Linked DNA regions of Arabidopsis thaliana. The protein of the gene in region 1 interacts with the protein of each later gene in a pairwise test. Each region holds a gene or a part of one and is shown in the gene's direction. Other genes may lie near its edges.

What was found.
Region 2: the proteins of AT3G55600 (region 1) and NTL9 interact in a two-hybrid assay, tested with the Arabidopsis thaliana proteins (one large-scale study listed by BioGRID).
Region 3: the proteins of AT3G55600 (region 1) and NLM1 interact in a two-hybrid assay, tested with the Arabidopsis thaliana proteins (one large-scale study listed by BioGRID).
Region 4: the proteins of AT3G55600 (region 1) and AT3G10260 interact in a two-hybrid assay, tested with the Arabidopsis thaliana proteins (one large-scale study listed by BioGRID).

The regions. Positions count from the first base shown.
Region 1 is NC_003074.8:20,618,462-20,623,106, forward strand, and holds AT3G55600 (Membrane fusion protein Use1), read left to right. Parts: upstream 1-1,948; 5' UTR 1,949-2,089; exon of another isoform or gene 2,090-2,205; 5' UTR 2,206-2,220; coding exon 2,221-2,307; intron 2,308-2,386; coding exon 2,387-2,454; intron 2,455-2,658; coding exon 2,659-2,731; intron 2,732-2,976; coding exon 2,977-3,092; intron 3,093-3,177; coding exon 3,178-3,279; intron 3,280-3,439; coding exon 3,440-3,539; intron 3,540-3,703; coding exon 3,704-3,880; 3' UTR 3,881-4,094; downstream 4,095-4,645. Other genes in the region: AT3G55590 (Glucose-1-phosphate adenylyltransferase family protein), read left to right, coding at 1-420; AT3G55605 (Mitochondrial glycoprotein family protein), read left to right, coding at 4,207-4,461.
Region 2 is NC_003075.7:16,887,905-16,892,855, reverse strand, and holds NTL9 (NAC transcription factor-like 9), read left to right. Parts: upstream 1-2,054; 5' UTR 2,055-2,111; coding exon 2,112-2,277; intron 2,278-2,395; coding exon 2,396-2,904; intron 2,905-2,980; coding exon 2,981-3,328; intron 3,329-3,480; coding exon 3,481-3,756; intron 3,757-3,850; coding exon 3,851-3,970; intron 3,971-4,136; coding exon 4,137-4,322; 3' UTR 4,323-4,451; downstream 4,452-4,951. Other genes in the region: HMGB5 (high mobility group B5), read left to right, coding at 4,672-4,718, 4,801-4,887. UniProt on the Arabidopsis thaliana protein: Transcriptional activator activated by proteolytic cleavage through regulated intramembrane proteolysis (RIP). Calmodulin-regulated transcriptional repressor. Binds several synthetic promoters with randomly selected binding sites.
Region 3 is NC_003075.7:10,420,939-10,425,467, reverse strand, and holds NLM1 (NOD26-like major intrinsic protein 1), read left to right. Parts: upstream 1-1,959; 5' UTR 1,960-2,058; coding exon 2,059-2,226; intron 2,227-2,338; coding exon 2,339-2,563; intron 2,564-2,987; coding exon 2,988-3,206; coding exon of another isoform or gene 3,207-3,257; exon of another isoform or gene 3,258-3,357; coding exon 3,358-3,419; coding exon of another isoform or gene 3,420-3,423; exon of another isoform or gene 3,424-3,523; coding exon 3,524-3,740; 3' UTR 3,741-3,947; downstream 3,948-4,529. UniProt on the Arabidopsis thaliana protein: Water channel probably required to promote glycerol permeability and water transport across cell membranes.
Region 4 is NC_003074.8:3,170,655-3,174,846, reverse strand, and holds AT3G10260 (Reticulon family protein), read left to right. Parts: upstream 1-1,854; 5' UTR 1,855-2,278; coding exon 2,279-2,519; intron 2,520-2,593; coding exon 2,594-2,774; intron 2,775-2,858; coding exon 2,859-3,000; intron 3,001-3,102; coding exon 3,103-3,172; intron 3,173-3,264; coding exon 3,265-3,434; 3' UTR 3,435-3,625; downstream 3,626-4,192. Other genes in the region: GYRB1 (DNA gyrase subunit B), read left to right, coding at 1-38, 115-231, 321-374, 458-563, 749-879, 974-1,042.

The DNA.
Region 1 (4,645 bases):
CCACGAGACTACATTACTGGTCTAAGACTTTACTTAGACTCTCTGAGGAAGAAATCTCCTTCAAAGTTAGCCACTGGTCCACACATTTTGGGAAATGTTCTTGTGGATGAAACCGCAGAGATTGGTGAAGGATGTTTGATTGGCCCTAACGTTGCTATAGGCCCTGGCTGTGTTGTTGAGTCCGGGGTTAGACTATCGCACTGCACGGTAATGCGTGGGGTACACGTGAAGAGATATGCGTGTATCTCGAGTAGTATCATTGGGTGGCACTCGACGGTCGGACAATGGGCTCGGGTCGAGAACATGTCCATACTTGGGAAAAATGTTTACGTGTGCGATGAGATATATTGTAATGGAGGGGTTGTGTTGCATAACAAAGAGATCAAATCAGACATCTTGAAACCAGATATAGTGATGTGATGACAATTTGGTTGATTTGTCCGTATTTTTCATTTTTTTGTGCGAATACGATTTCTAATTTAAAGTCATGAAAAAGTAAAATTTTCAATGTTTTATAAGAGTCTAGCTCCTAGTAAGCCTTTCGACAAGTTTCCTAAGAATATCAAAGACGCTCTTGAGATTGAAGGTTATATTAGTGATGTGTCAATCTTGACATATGATGCTGGGAATATATGTTGTTTGAAGTTAGATCTAATTAATTTATGTGTGTCTCTTGAGTTAAAAGATGTTTGATCTAAGTGAAATCATGAGAAGAGGTCGTGATCTTGTTCCTCCTTTTTGTACGTGCCATGGCCTTGGTCGTGATTCTGAATTTTTCTTAGGTACATTGCTGACAATTGAAGGTCAGGATGTAGCAAATCAATGTATCATGCGATTTGGATTACTTAAGAAGTAAAAGAGATATCAGTCTCAGCGAGCAGATAAAACTTTTGTTCAAAATGATCCACAGAGCAGACGTACGATTTAATCTTTCAATTAATCATACAAATACTAGGAAATGAGAAATCATTAGCAGAGATTATAAAACCTAGGGCATTGATGGGAAAGGGATTAAAACAGCAAAACACTAAACAGAGTTTAAGAGAACAAAAACCAAAGTCTTTTGGACAGAAGAGATTATAAAAGTGAAAACCACACGCCCTAGCATAGCCTTCCCCGCGGTAAGCTCCCAAGCAGTGGGAGGAGCCCTGGGCACCCTTCTCCACAATATGGACAAGGAGTATCGTCGCCCTCGTCATCTTCTTCGGATCTGAAAGTCTCTTGTTTGACACGAGATATTAGGCTACGTAATTGGATCCAATAGGCTTTCCCAAAACCATACAGTGTTTACATACGGAATTTGCGGCGCTTCTGGTGACCAGTCATTAGCCACAACTAAGATAACATTGTAACTCATAAACATCCAACAAACTAAGATGTTCTTCGAACTTGGTCTCTCCTGGGATGCTTTTGGCGATTACCATCAGATTTGTAGATGTATAATGGGGAGCAGGATTTTCCACTGACCAAAATGCAATTTCCACTAACATCTTGTTTAGTCTCTCACTCTTACCCCCTAAAAAAATGTATATATCAGTTATCAACTAACATGTAAAATTGCACTGCACATACATATATATATATATATATATATATAATATGTAATAAAAAAGAACTAGGGTTTAAGTAAAGGACAATCACTTTTGGGTTCGAAGTCGATTACATCATCCAGACTGTCAGGTTTCTTCTCACCATAAGCAGTGATTGACACCTCACCATGATAACCTACAAATCACAGAGATCGAGATCTCTGGGCATGGTGGTTTCGACGGAGATCGAGAAAACAGAAAATTAGATTTAGAAGTAAGAGGCCTATCAATGTTTTACATTTAAGCACAGTAAACATTTAAAGCCCAGCCTAGCCCATTAAGAGGTAAATCTAATTTGCTACGAATTCGGTTGTTAATTATTAAACCATCGGTTTAGTTCATCAAACGCAAACCAAAGCCAATAACCGAATAATTTCTCGAGAAAAAATAATGACTTTCCGGTGAAGATTTTTTTTTACGACGGCTTCTCCTGACAACGGAAGGTGTTGAGAAAGTGGCGGAATTTGATTTTGTTTCCTCTCCTCTCCTATCTAAACAAGGTCTGTTTTCGTGAGATCCAGATATTCAATTTGGATTCAAAATCGTGAATTGGGTTTTGGATTGATTTCTGTTACTGGTCTGTGTGCTTTGATCTGAATGTTGTTTCATTCTCTAGTTGTCAGATTTACTGATGATGGGAATAAGCAAAACGGAGATCAATTTGCGGAGATTGCTTTCCGCTGCACCTAACCAGCAAAATCAGTCGAAGCTTATGCATGTACGTTTCTTTTGATCTTCATTATATGTAAACTATTAGTCTCGTGTTTATGTTGATGTATGAAACAAAAAATCTGCAGTATGTTGCTACATTGAGGGAACAATTAGAACAACTCTCCGAAGAAAAAACCCCTGAAGGCCTTCCCAGGTTTACTTACTCTCTTGTTGATTCACCATTGCCATTAAAAAGATTCCTGCTTTTTGGTGTCTCTTTCTAGGATCAAGGGTTAGAGATTTGAACTGGATTGCTTCGTATTATAGTTGTTGTTCTAAAAGTACATGTTTTTTGGTGAAATACCCTTGCAACCATTATGAGAATGTGCTTATTTTCTCCTTTGATCTCTTTGTCCAGAGTTACAAAGGCTAAGGTTAATGAGTACTATGAGAAGATTGAAGCTGTTGCTTCCAAGATAGCTTCTCAAGAGGTAAGTCACCTGAACTAGAAAGGGACACTTCTTTTCACTTGTCTAGCTAGGACATTAGGCTCTTGTTGATATGATACTTTGTTAGTTACTTCCCCAATTTTTACTAGATGTATTGGTCTCAGGAATTAGTTTCAGGAACGCACATTTTGGTTGGTTCCTGCGTAGAACCATTGTTTAGCTGCAAGAATTTTCAAGTTTTACTTCTGTAACTTATACCAAATTTTTGATTTTTGCTAAATTTACAGCCTGAGACAGAGGTATCTGATGAACCCTTTGCAAAAGATTCGACTAGTGGAAGCTCACCAAAAATAGAAGATGAGCCTCGAAGCCCCACTTCGCCACAGCTGAGAAGAAGAATCGTGTACGTGGAATACTAGATTCACATCCTTCTCAAGTTGTAGTAAATTCTTTCTTTTAGTACTTATCAACTTCCTTGATTGAGTTAGCCCTGCAAGTTCCAAGGAGCAAAGCTTTGATGCTGCTGATGCTGATTCATCAAAACCAATAAAACTAGACACCGCAGCTCAAGCGCACATTGACAAGCACAGGTAGATGCATTGATCACCAAGAAGAACTAGGAACTCATTTCTATCTATGCACTTTCGTTAGTAGAGAGAAAAATTTATCGCAAAGAGTAGAGCTTTATTGATTTTAATATAAGTTCAATTTTGCCACTTCATGCCAAGTTGGTGATTCATTTGATGACAGAAAGCTTCAAGAGGATCTAACCGATGAAATGGTGGTACTTGCAAGACAACTCAAGGAGAGAAGTCAAGCGATTAGTCAATCTGTGCAAAATACAGAAAAGGTGAGATGCTAACCATTTCCTCACAAAACCAATTATTCTTACTTTTTTAATCAACAACTATGTAACAAGAGAAGAATCTATATTGGTTCATATATCCTTTTAACCGGCTTCATTGCTCCTAACATTTTTCTTTCTTTCTTTTCTTGTGGATTCATTAACAAAAGATACTTGACTCTACCGAGGAGGCCATTGAGCAAAGCCTAGCGAGCACAGGACACGCGACAACAAGAGCGACAAAGATATATTCACAAAGCTCAAAGACAAGTTGCTTCCAGTGGCTCTTGATCTTCGCCATGATCTGTGTGTTCATAATGGTTGTTCTGTTGATCCGGGTCACATAGAAATTGTTCAGATTGTAATACCAAATTAGTGAAATCCAAAAAACATTTCAGTCTCTTTATCATACAGTTTGTGAAAGTTCTTTTGACTTTTGTAAATTCTGAGTTTTTGATATGTGAAACTATACTTCTAAAAGATATGCCAGAAATCAGTACAATTTGTTTGTGAAGAGGAATTGAGAAATGAAGAATTGTAATTTAACCGGTTTGGTTTGAAGACCGGTATGATTTGGTTAGTATAGTTTGTCTTCTTCGTACACTTAAAAGTTAAAACCCTAAGGAAAGGCCAAAACCCAGAGACTGAGAGAATCCATTTTCTTTTAATCGCCATGGGTTTCGCTTTGTGCATTCGTAGATCAGCTTCTACTTTAGCTTCCGTGTGTGGTCGTGTGGCTCGAGCTCAAGCCGTCTCCGCTATCGTTAATCGCTCGTCTCTTGTTCCCAAGCCATCTCTGCTTCGGCCCTTCGTCTCTCGTGGCTTTCCTTATTCGACGGCCACTGAGCCGTTAAAGTCCGATCAGACGCTTATACAAGTGATTGACTCTGAGATCAAGGATTCTTTCGAAGCAGATGATCACGATGCGGTAATAACTGATCTTTATCACTTGATTCCTGGGAAAATAAACGAATCTGTGGGATTTGTTTTTTTCTTGGTTTTTGATAGAGAATTGTAGAAGCAGTGTTGAAAATTGGACTGAATCTGTGAGTTTGCTTACTCTGTGGAAGCCATAAGCTTTAGTGGGAACTCATGGTTGAATCTAACTGGAG
Region 2 (4,951 bases), on another chromosome or scaffold:
CGTGCGAGGGTAGTTATGTAAAATTAACAGTGGGAAGCGGGTTGCACCGAACCAAGCCCATGTAGCTAAACACTCACACGCGCGACGCATGTCTGAAAAGTGGTAATTGAATTTTGTTTAGAATGATTCTACAGAGGTTGAATTTGGTAAATGAATCAGAGGAATATTAAGCATTTGAGCATAATTTCCAATTTGGTCAGATTATGATATATGTAAATATGTCCATGATTCATTTTCTGTTTTTGGGTTCTCTTTGTTCATTTATTAAGTCATGGGCTGAAGTTTTCATATTTTAAGTCATGGGCTGAGTTCTCAAGGACTAAAACTGGTATTGATATTATGATCTGTTAAAAGCCAATTCATTTAAGGTGTTCAAAATCTAAACTGAATAATTGCGTTAAATTAAGCCGGACATGTTTCAATCAAAAGTCAATAGAATGTGTCAAAATACTCTGGGTACTTGGGTAGTATTAGTAACATTAACTTACAAGGATTTTTCTCTATATAAAAATACAGAGTACTAGTTTTGATTTTATCTGAGTGAGAACTTTCTAATAAAACTCTAATCGAAAACAATTAATATTTTGTATAAAATGGAGTGTAGAACCTAAATATTTTGTATTGCTTGGATATATAGTTTTTTTTCTTCTTAACATGGATATATAAGTTCTATTTCGTACATATTTCCCCTAATTTTAATGTTGAATTTTGGAAAACTTTTGTTGGATAGTGACATGAAGACCCTAATTTTAATCATAACATTTTGGAAAACTTGATTGGGTGAGTGATATGGAGGTGATGTTAACGTATGTTTGGTATCAATAGTTGGTCCAATTAGGCCCAAAGAGTCAAAAAAGGTGCCCAAGTGTTGTCAAAAGAGAAAACAATTAAGAATAGGGCAAAGCTTGGCCAGCAAGATTTAGTGGTCATTTCCTAGAAACGTGTCCAAGAATTTATAAAGATGGGTTGTCTTATAAATACATATCGTTCACGTAATTACCTGAGATCAAATCTTAATCATATCATTCATCGTATATAGACTCCAAACACGTTTTTCAAACTCCTATGATCATGTGTTCTCTCTTTGCCTCCGTCTTTGATTGCTTTGTTCCAAAATCAGACTCAAAGATTAGCTCAACTGATGAGAGTGACTTGAAAGTCCTGTCCTCAAAGAAACCAAAAAGCAAATCCCCGAGAGCTCCGATTATGGTGTCTTACTTTCCCGCCGGTTCAAACCTTTCGCGTCTATAAGTGCCAAATAGAAGAGAAGAGAAGATGAAGTATTGGGATGTTGATTTTGATATAAACGAAAGAAGTTTTTGGTTGTAGACATGTTGTATGCGCAGGCTTTAATTTTATGTTTTATTTAATTATGTACAAATAGACCATTTAGATTGATAGCATCATATATATGCTTTGTATTTAAGACCAAATAAAAGATTAATGTTTATATACATGCGTAAAAATGTTAAGAGCTTAGTTAGTATCATTTTCAAAAACTGATTGTCACTTGAGCTTTTATTTTTCTTATTTTTTTAATTAAGAAAAGTTGTGGCCCTCAAAAAGTTACATGGAATCGGAACAGGAAAAAAAAAATGTCGAAAACTGATTAATCTAGGCAACGTTATCGCATTTTCATATCTTACAAATCCCTTTTTCAATTCAGATTTGGTAGAAATGCAAGGAGAGTTCCATAGTGTATATGTAAAATTTGTATAAAACGTCTAGAAGAATTACAATGCTGAATTTGTTGGAAGCTCTGTTTTTCTCTGCTTAGACGTTTCCAACGTGTTTTGGGTTTCTCTGATCACTGTAAAGCCTAAACCACAAGAGAAGAAAAACCACGAAGCTTTGGGCTTTAAGGCCTTTTTGGGCCCTAGCCACAATAATGGAAGCCTATCAAGAAAAGACAAGACAAGACAATAAGACAGAAGAGGACAAGTGTTTAAAGTGGAAGTTATCTTTCTCACGTGGTCTAAAGAAAGGTTAAAAAAAAAGAGGGAAAAAAAAAAGAAGATGAGAGAAAGCAAAGTGTTGAAGACTTTTTAGAAAGCAGAAAAAAAAGCAGAGAGTGTATTCAAAGTCGGAAAGAAACCCTAAAGAAGAGGATTATGGGTGCTGTATCGATGGAGTCGCTTCCTTTAGGTTTCAGATTCAGACCTACCGATGAAGAGCTCGTCAATCACTACCTCCGTCTCAAGATCAACGGACGTCACTCCGATGTCCGTGTCATCCCTGATATCGATGTCTGCAAATGGGAACCTTGGGATCTTCCTGGTTCGTCTCTTTATTCTCTCAAAATTTGATTCCTTTTATTCTCAGATTCTGTTTTCCCTCTCAAAGATTCCACCTTTTTTTTCTTTACTCAATTGGAAACAAATCTGATTGTCGGCAGCTCTCTCGGTGATTAAGACGGATGATCCAGAGTGGTTCTTTTTCTGCCCTCGTGATCGGAAATACCCTAATGGTCATCGCTCTAACAGAGCAACTGACTCTGGCTATTGGAAAGCTACTGGTAAAGATCGTAGCATCAAGTCTAAGAAGACTTTAATCGGTATGAAGAAGACTCTTGTCTTCTATCGTGGACGAGCTCCTAAAGGTGAGCGGACTAATTGGATTATGCACGAGTATCGTCCCACTCTTAAGGATCTTGATGGCACTTCCCCTGGCCAAAGCCCTTACGTTCTTTGTCGCCTCTTCCACAAGCCTGATGATCGGGTTAATGGTGTCAAGTCCGATGAAGCAGCTTTTACGGCCAGCAACAAATACTCACCTGATGATACATCATCTGATCTTGTTCAAGAAACACCTTCCTCTGATGCTGCTGTTGAGAAACCATCAGATTATTCAGGTGGATGCGGTTATGCTCATAGTAATAGTACCGCAGATGGGACAATGATTGAGGTATGAATGGAAACTCTTGAATAATTAATTAGGCTTTTTTGAGTGACTTGACTAATTTTGAGTTTTGTGTTCATAGGCACCTGAAGAGAATCTTTGGTTATCTTGTGACCTTGAAGATCAAAAGGCACCACTACCGTGTATGGATTCTATATATGCTGGTGATTTCAGTTACGATGAGATTGGATTCCAATTTCAAGATGGTACCAGCGAACCAGATGTATCACTAACAGAATTGTTGGAGGAGGTGTTCAATAACCCTGATGACTTCTCTTGCGAGGAATCGATCAGTCGAGAGAATCCAGCAGTCTCACCAAATGGGATATTTTCATCTGCTAAAATGCTGCAGTCTGCAGCACCAGAGGATGCTTTCTTCAACGACTTCATGGCTTTCACTGATACAGATGCTGAGATGGCGCAATTGCAGGTGAGCACAAAGATACATATTTTGAGGCCTATACAATTTTAGAAGTATCCAAATTATTTTGCTTTAAGTAGGCTAGAAACCTCTAGATCAGTTATCTTTACAATCACTCTTGACATAAGTAAAATGACAATTTTTATCTTTTGTTTGATCAGTATGGTTCAGAAGGTGGAGCTTCTGGTTGGCCAAGTGACACTAATTCATACTATAGTGATTTGGTTCAGCAAGAGCAAATGATCAATCATAACACAGAGAACAACCTCACAGAAGGGAGAGGGATAAAGATCCGGGCTCGACAGCCTCAGAACCGGCAGAGTACAGGATTGATAAACCAGGGTATTGCTCCAAGGAGAATCCGTCTGCAGCTGCAGTCTAACTCTGAAGTAAAAGAACGAGAGGAGGTGAATGAAGGACACACTGTTATTCCCGAGGTACGAGACTAGTGATTCCAAAAGTTGTGTCTTAGACATCAATAACATAAAGGATGCATCTTTTTAATTTGTTGTTAATGGTGGGGATGTGCAGGCCAAAGAAGCTGCAGCTAAATACTCAGAGAAGAGTGGTTCTTTGGTTAAACCTCAAATAAAGCTCAGGGCGCGGGGAACTATAGGCCAAGTAAAAGGAGAGAGATTTGCAGACGACGAGGTAAGAATGAGTGAACTTGTTTACACATGAATGAAGAAAGAGTATAGTAGTAAGCTCTACTAAATACTATAGAATTAGAAAGAAAAAAAAGAGAAAGCAATCAGTAGAGCATGTGAGATCAGCTAGTAATGATAAAAGAAACTGAGAAGTATCTTTGTCTAAAGAGAAGTTTGTTGTGGTTACAGGTACAGGTGCAGAGCAGAAAGAGACGAGGAGGGAAGCGATGGAAGGTGGTTGCAACGGTAATGGTGGCTGTGATGGTTGGGGTAGGGATGGGTATATGGAGGACACTGGTGAGTTCATGACACATGAGACACAAAGAGAGAGAGAGAGAGAATCAAATGTAGTTTAATGTAATTAGGGATGATGCAATGTTAGCATGTTTGTGTGTTGTAACTTAAAAACTTATTTAGGAATCTGATAAAAGTTACTGTTGAATTTACACGGATGGTCAAGATTAAATGTACCAACATCTTAATTATCTACGGTCAAGATTAAAAATACCAACATCTTAAATTAACACCGCATCAAAGAATTATCTCAATCGTCGTCTCTCCCCAATTCAAAAAAAGAAATAACCTAAACGTGTTCACACAGAGGTAAGCTCGCTCCTACTCGCCGCCTCATCTGAGTCAACTCCGAGTCAGCTATTTTTCCCCACCGGATTCTCACTTTTGTTCCTCTCTGTGACAGATCTCGAGATGAAAGATAACCAAACGGAAGTTGAATCGAGGAGCACTGATGATAGGTATCTTTATATTTATCCGTAATCTCGATTCTTAGATTCAATTTGTTTCCGTAGTTTTGAAATCGTCTTTTATGATTCTCAGATTGAAAGTTAGAGGGAACAAAGTTGGAAAGAAAACAAAGGATCCAAACAGGCCTAAGAAACCACCAAGTCCTTTCTTCGTCTTCCTGTAAATAAAAATCACTAATCTCTCTTCTTCTTTTTTCTTCACTAATTTGATTACAGTAATTAAT
Region 3 (4,529 bases), on another chromosome or scaffold:
ACATAAGATTTTTAGATAAAATTCAAAAAACAAATTTAGATATATATTTTTTTGGAATTTCTATTTAAAACCTGGTGAAATTGATAATGTGTTTTAACATTAATACATATACTGATAAACCATTTTAGATGAAGATAATATCTATATAAAATTTTCCTTTGCATTATCTTTGATACGTAAACCAGATATATTGCAATTAAAAATATAAAATTACGGAATAACATTGTAGCGAGAAATTGTGGAGCGTCATAATAAAAAAAGTTACATAGTTTTGGTAGAAATTTTTGACATGTAAGTTGTGAACAGACCCGTTAACAAATTTATGTCTCATTTACTTTATGCACACATACTACTCGTAACACTCTCACATCGTACAAAGATATAGATCTAGCACACGTATAATAGCTTCGGAAGTCATGCTGATGAAATGATGTTGATGATGATGAATATGATGGTGTATGATTATATCATGATGGGTTTGATATCATCGATTATAATAAAGTTATGATGATGTAAAAAAGTTAATGAATTGAATCCGAGTGTCGTGGTGGAAACATTAAGTAGCCCCCATAATTCATCAGTCCATTCAACTCATTTATTTCATCAACTTATTAAAATAATATAAAATGATAGTCAATTCATTGGTTGAGTTAAGTCAATGATCTACTAATTTTGATCGACTTTGATACTCCTACATTTACATCAATGTTTCTTTTTCTTTCTGAAATATTCTTTATTTACCTTCCCTTTGCATATATGTATGTTCTCAATTTCAATTCATATTCACTCCTCCTATTTTTTTGGCACCATACATCATGCACATCTGGATCGATACGTAACATGAAAGTCTTTAAGATTTGTCTTGTCACCATTAACCAGCATACGTGTTTACATGTGGAATTAACATTGCTAATTTACTGATAATTCAAATTGTACATTATAAAGAAACTTCATTTTTTCTCTGGTGGCCCGTGGCCACAACCCTACATTCTAACATCCATTAAAGAGGGTTCGAACTTAACCTAATCTAGAGATGACATTTTGAGTATTGTCGCAAATAAAACATTCTGATCATAATTAACATTTAGTTATATGTTAGTATGGATTCAAACCTGAGGTTGATATGATCGGATCCAAACAGTACACTACATTAAGTTTACGGATCGCAATCAAGATTGTTACGTTGGCATCAAGGTATATATAAAATATCTTGAAATTTTTTAGTAATTTTTATAATGTTGTGTACATATGTACACATGCACAACTATAAGCTAAATAAAGTATGTCCGTATTACCCGCTTGGTAGTTGAAGACTTAAAGAGGCCATCATCAATTCCATCTAGTGACATTTTTCAATTTCTCATAAATGATATAGTTTATTCTATAGTTTGCATGACATAATTTTGTTTTGTTTATATGATACGAACAAATTTGGGTGTAACAACATATGACCGGTGACTTTATATCCGAAATTCAGAATTCGATATGAGATGTTCTAAATGAATACTTATGTGAAATACAAACAACGCATAAAATGACGTATATATACTTATGTGATTATAAATGAATATTTGGAAAGTAGAATAAAAATTTAAAAACAAAAAGTAGATTGCAAGTATGCAACATTTGAATCCTAGGCGCGGATGGTTATGCATGTACGACATGCACGAATGATATAGGCTCTCTGCACAACACACAAGATCAAAACAAACAAATTCTGCATGTAGCATTCTAAAATTTTCGATAAATTTTATATTTGTTGATCTAAGAAAAAATTGTAATCCCTGAAAATTGAATTTGAGACCTGGTATAGAATCTCCACAAACATAGGAATTTATTATTATTAAAAAAGCTTTATTAACAATATATCATCTTCTTCTTTTTTTCAATTAATAAACTGGTAATATTAAAATCGTCAAAGAAGTCTCTCTCTCCCCCATGTTTGCCAATAAATAGGAGATAATCGCTACCAAACTTCTCATTCTCACAAGTCATAAACAGTCGTTTATAGTTCAATCCTTTTCCTCTTCTTTGTTTCTAAAAAGAGAAAAGTCACTTATGGCGGATATCTCGGGAAACGGCTATGGCAACGCCAGAGAAGAAGTAGTAATGGTGAATCTCAAGGATGAAGTCGAACATCAACAAGAAATGGAAGACATTCATAACCCAAGACCCTTGAAGAAACAAGACTCTCTACTCTCAGTCTCTGTCCCTTTCTTACAAAAGGTTTTTACTTTTAACTCTCCATATCCAACATGTTTTACAAGTTATAAATGAAAAGACTCTGTTTTGTACCAATTCACAAGACATCTCGGTTTTATTTACGCTATGTTTTCAGTTGATCGCGGAGTTTCTTGGAACCTACTTTTTGGTATTCACCGGTTGTGCATCGGTGGTTGTAAACATGCAAAACGACAATGTCGTGACTCTTCCAGGGATCGCTATCGTTTGGGGACTCACCATTATGGTCCTCATTTACTCTCTTGGTCACATCTCTGGTGCTCATATCAATCCGGCCGTTACCATTGCCTTCGCCTCTTGTGGCCGTTTCCCTCTCAAACAGGTCCTTAACACATACACAATTACATATAGCCTTTATATAATGATCGATCAAGTTTTGTATTTTATGTGTGTTTTTGAGTTTCATGAACAAACTAATTAAAGAACATTAGTGTATTTTGTTTCCATTGATCTAGTTTAGCTATCGGTTGCTTGTATTGCACACGAGACTTTGGGTTATTCAAATACGTAGCGTTTTTAATGCAACGTTTACTATAGATGAGTGAAGATACGTAAGGACAAATCTACTTTTGCTAGTTTCCAAAATAAATTAAAATGTTATGTAACTTTTGTATGTATATAGTTTTTCCACACGTCCATATTTTGTTATATAAACGTCAAAATATCTTCCAAGATTGGGTCCCTTCCCTAGTTAGTGTGAACTGGTGAATTAATTTATTTTATTTTTGTTCTTTGAATTTTTTTAGGTTCCAGCTTATGTCATATCACAAGTGATAGGATCAACGCTCGCGGCTGCGACATTACGGTTGTTGTTCGGACTTGATCACGACGTTTGTAGCGGAAAACACGATGTGTTTATCGGATCATCACCAGTGGGATCAGATCTTCAGGCGTTTACGATGGAGTTTATCGTCACTTTCTATCTAATGTTCATCATTTCTGGCGTTGCTACCGATAATAGAGCGGTTAGTATTTTCATATCTTCTTATGTTGTCAAATTCGATGGCTTATATTAGTGTTATTAATTACTGCTCCCTCTCAGAAGTTACATTTGTTTTCTGTGGTCTTTAAATTTACGAGAAACTTAACATTGGGACCAAATGCTGCAATATTCAGATCGGAGAACTTGCTGGATTAGCAATAGGATCAACGGTGCTACTTAACGTGCTAATTGCCGCGTAAGTTATCAGTTACCATTTCTATTATTGTGCTTATACTTTTTTTTTTTAGAGTAAGAATTCCAAAAAATGATTTATACGGTTATGTTCATCAATTTTATTAGACCGGTATCGAGTGCGTCGATGAATCCAGGAAGAAGTTTAGGACCTGCACTGGTCTATGGTTGCTACAAAGGAATTTGGATATACTTAGTTGCGCCAACTCTTGGTGCGATTGCGGGTGCATGGGTTTATAACACAGTTAGATATACCGATAAACCATTGCGAGAAATCACTAAAAGTGGTTCATTTCTAAAGACCGTGAGAATCGGTAGCACTTGATAAGAGAAAAGAAAACATGGGTGGAGTTGATGGAGTATTTTCAAATGAATGTAACAACTTTCACCACACCTTACGTATATGGCCTTTGTATTAATTGCTACGTTTATCTCTTTTATTGTTAACGCCAAGATTCTCTATCTTGTTATTAATGTGTAACTGTATCGTATATTTTTTAAATAATAAAATTCAATTCTAGAAAGATCAAACTTTAAAGTTTTAAGCAAAATTGTTGAATATGTAGAATTTGGAATTTGTCAAAGGAAAGCACAAGATCCGGAGTCACAATCATTTGCCTAGTGGGGCAATACTTTTGTCCATAGAACTTAAAAGCCGGGCACGGCACGTGTTGGTTTGACCTGATAGATCAAAACTAAACATCATCCACCACATACCAATCTCTAACGAATGGCACACATCCCAAATCATTCACCTCATATTTTTCTCATGCAACATCAGGAAACTTTTCATTTGTGATGAATAAAGAAGAAAACAATGAGGAAACTTTTCATCCACTAAAATGTGAGAAAGAAGACCAATTATTATTCATCTAATTACCCAACAAAGAATAAATTACATATTAGTTGGCTAAAATAAGATTAATTTTTGAAGAATTTACTAATCGAAAAATCCTAATCAAACCGAAATTTCGATCGAGCATAGTAGACTGAGCTGGCCAGCCGCTATGATGTCACAATTCACTAACACAAGGAAAAACTAAAGAACAAAATTGATCATTTTGACGAAGCCTCATGGAGAGGAACTAATAACAAACTTGTTTAATGTCCTCTG
Region 4 (4,192 bases), about 17 Mb from region 1:
TTCAAAATCTTATTCTTGGCCTTGGTCTTGGAGTTAAGGTAATATATCCTTTTTCATATCCTGCTGTTTGTTGGTATGTTCGGAAAACTCAGTTTGACATAAAACTTATTTCAGGGAGAAGATTTTAACAAGGAGAATCTGCGTTACCATAAAATTATCATCTTAACAGATGCAGATGTTGATGGTGCACATATCCGGACACTTCTGTTGACCTTTTTCTTCAGATATCAGGTACTAGTTTAGTTTGATAAAACATTAGTTGAAGTAGCCTTGATTGCTGATTGAGTTATGTGAAATTTAATGAAATTTACTTTCTACAGAGAGCCTTGTTTGACGCGGGTTGCATATACGTTGGTGTTCCACCTCTTTTCAAGGTAAGCTCTTAGTATCTATAATCTTATGCTTCAGATTGAACGGAATTTTTTTCTAAAGCTAGTCTCTCTGTGAAAACGATCAGGTTGAGAGGGGGAAACAGGCGCACTACTGCTACGATGATGCAGCTCTTAAAAAAATCACTGCTTCGTTCCCTGGAAACGCATCCTACAACATTCAGAGGTTCAAAGGTAAAACATCCTACTTCTCACATCATGAATGTGTTCTTTTGGAAAGGATAAATAACTATGAAAAGTAATGTATAGTAGTTGTTATGTGTTAGCTATTAAGATACTCTTGAGTGTGTGCATAACGAAATCTAGATTAGTCTCAACTATTGGATTCTATGTAATGTTTCTTGCTTTTGCATCTGCAGGTTTGGGTGAGATGATGCCTGCGCAGCTATGGGAAACAACGATGAATCCAGATACAAGGATATTGAAGCAACTAGTTGTTGACGACGCAGCAGAAACGAATATGGTCTTCTCATCTCTGATGGGTGCTCGGGTAAGCCAATGAATTGCCAGACTCGGACTCATGATAATAGTCAATAAACTGGCATAACTCATCGTGACAATGTTATGTTCTGTGTATGTTTCAGGTCGATGTCAGGAAGGAACTCATCAAAAGTGCTGCGACTAGGATGAATCTGGAGAATCTCGACATATAACACAGCTTATAGTTATTGCTTCAGCTATATACAAACAACAAAGAAACGACTCTGGTGAAATGCAAAGGGAGACATCATCATTTCAAGGTTAAATCATATAGTCACAGGCCAACAGGATTTTGTTCTTCTTCTGGCCTATAAAGGACAAAATTCATTGTTAGGATTATCTCTTTCAATGTCAAAATTTAGCAATTCACAAGGCTCTTTGTTGGGCGTTTCTTTCCATTGGAACTAGAATTTTTCTAGAGACAAGAGAAATTTGCATTCACTAGGTATTTACTATATATTATGACTTCAACAATTTGGCATTCCTGAAAATCATGCATGCGACGAAGTTAAAACTAATGATTAGAAGGAAGATGAGAAGGTAACTATTGTGCAATGAATATCTTCTCTGCCTGTTGTATTGATTTTAATTGTATTCGAGGTTAAGTTTTGACTGATGTTTTACTAGCGATCGCAGAGTGATCGATAATTAACAAGTTTATTTTTCGATTTGGTAGGTATATAGTGAATTAAACATGATTTTTGTTCTTCCTGAACAACCTAAAGCAGTGTTATGAACGCATCACGCATGTAACAACCAGTCAACCATATTAGTGTGACTTTAATTCATTGAATAAATGAAATTTTTTTATTTTCAACAAGGCTTGTAACGGTTGATAAATCTACTCAGAAAACTTCTTTTTGTTTGTCTTGCAAATACAAACGATACGTTTCAACTCTTTTTTTGGCGTCCAATAATACTTCTTAAAAAATAATTTGTTTATTGTCATGAGCTACACGTGGGAAGACAAGTCCTATCCATTATTACTACACACTACTCCAACATTTGCCCACATTTTGAAAAAAACATTTTTTTGTAATTCAATTATTCGACACAACCAATCCCATCTCTTGTTTCACTTCCGCCCTCCATCTTTCTTCGTGATTGAGAGAATCTTCAACGAAAGAAAGCAACTTTTTTTGGGTGAAATTCACAGAACAACCAAGGTTTTTCTTCTTCTTCTTCTTCTCCAGTTCCTACAGGTTTACTCTTACTCATCTTCATCTTTGTCTCGTTCTTGCTCTTCAATTTCTGGTCTTTTTGTTGTTCTTGTCTTCTCGCCAAATATACTAAGATCTAAGTTTTATATCATTGTAATTATCACCAACGAACTGTTAAGACCAAATTTGATTACTCGAAATGGTTTTGGGTTTAGGGTATGAAGAACTGATCAAAAGATTCAATTTTTTATGAAGTCAACTTTCATCTGCAAATTGAGCAATCTCAGATTTCGATTGTGTTTCAGAATCATGCCTGACAAGAACATCGTAGAGGACGTTATCGGTGATTTGGTGGATAACTTCACGGAGACTGTTCAGAAGAACAAACATGGTTCCTCCTTCTTCGAACAAGAAGATTCCGTCAGTTCTCGTTTCAACCGTTTGTTTGATCGCCAGAAGCCAATTCATCATGTCTTAGGCGGTGGCAAATGTAAGAATTCGTATACAGGAACATAAATATGAGATTGGTTTTTCTTGTAATTGAGTATTGAGAGATTCCTTCAGCTGCTGATGTGTTGTTATGGAGGAACAAGAAGATCTCTGCAAGTGTTTTGATGGGAGCTACCGCAATTTGGGTGCTTTTTGAATGGATCAATTTCCATTTCCTGTCTCTCGTTTGCTATGCCCTCTTGCTTGGTATGATTGCACAATTCGTTTGGTCTAACGCCTCTGGATTCTTAAACCGGTAACTTGTTGGAGTGTTGTTGTCATTATTATTGGTACCTTGTGATTGCAATCTAACACAATGTCCTTTAATGTCTCAAAGCAGCTCACAGTCTAGAGTGCCTCGCCTAGTTCTTCCAAAGGATTTCTTTGCTGAAGTCGGTGTGGCCGTTGGAAAAGAAGTTAACCGCGGTTTGTTGTTTCTTCAGGACTTGGCTTGTAAAGGGAATTTGAAACAGTTCCTCATGGTGCGTTGTTTGTTTCAATAACCACAATCTTGTTTGTATAATGTATTAGCACTTTCATTACTATGCTAAGATAGAAACTTTGATCACAATATCATTTTTCAGGCTGTAATCGGACTATGGGTAGCTGCAATGGTCGGGAGCTGTTGCAATTTCCTAACTGTTTTGTATATCGGTGAGTGGTTCTTATTAGTGTATCCTCTTTTGAGATTGGAAGTTGAGTAATACAAGACTTTAAAGGGATGCATTTTATGTGTGTGTGTGAAGGGTTTGTTGGGGCACACACAATGCCGGTTCTGTATGAGAGATACGAAGACGAAGTGGATGGTTTTATGGATTCTATGATCATGAAGTTTCATAGTCATTACAAGAAGCTTGATACTGGGTTTCTCAGTAGAATCCCAAGTGGAAAGTTTGGATTAAAGAAGCGTGAGTGACTAAATCACTCAAGCATTTTCTTATTTTACCTTGTTTGTTGTTAGAACAATATGGATTATGGTTTGCTAAATGAATGTTTTGAGAATATTATTCATTCATGTAGATTTTGTGTATTTCCTTACTAAACAATACCTTGTCCATGTATTTGTCAATACCTTGGTTAATAAGAGAATCATCATATCTGTCAAAATTATACAAGTAGATTGAGAGTTCATTAACTCAATGTCTAAAAATGTAAGACTTAAAACAAGTTTGAATCAAAATTATTTCACAAATCAAAAGTATGGTTTTCTTATTTCGTAAGAATCGTTGACTAATATTGACCGGCTGGCTAATAAGAAGATCAGATAACTCTACAGGTATGGGATCCACCATTGTCAAACATTTTACACGTGTCAGCTTCCTGAGCTTCGAAGCCTGAATGTTAAAATTAAAAAATTTAAAAGAAAGAAATATAAAAAGAAGTAAATCAAAGAAAATGGAGTAAAGAAATTGATCCACGATCGATCAACAAAGTGAGGTTAGGTTCCATCTCCACCTCTTTCTCTCTCGAATCTTCTCCGATTAAAGGTGCTCTTTTGCTTATGAAATTTGTGTTTCTTAAGCTAATCGAATTTGTTTTCTTGATCGTTTTGATGTTCTTTTTTTTTTTTGTTATTGTTGTTGATTTGATGTGATCCGGTTGTATTTGAAGACGAAATCGATTCGAAGTGTTGAGGTTTAGTTTGGGGTAAAATAGATGATTCTCAATCTGTTC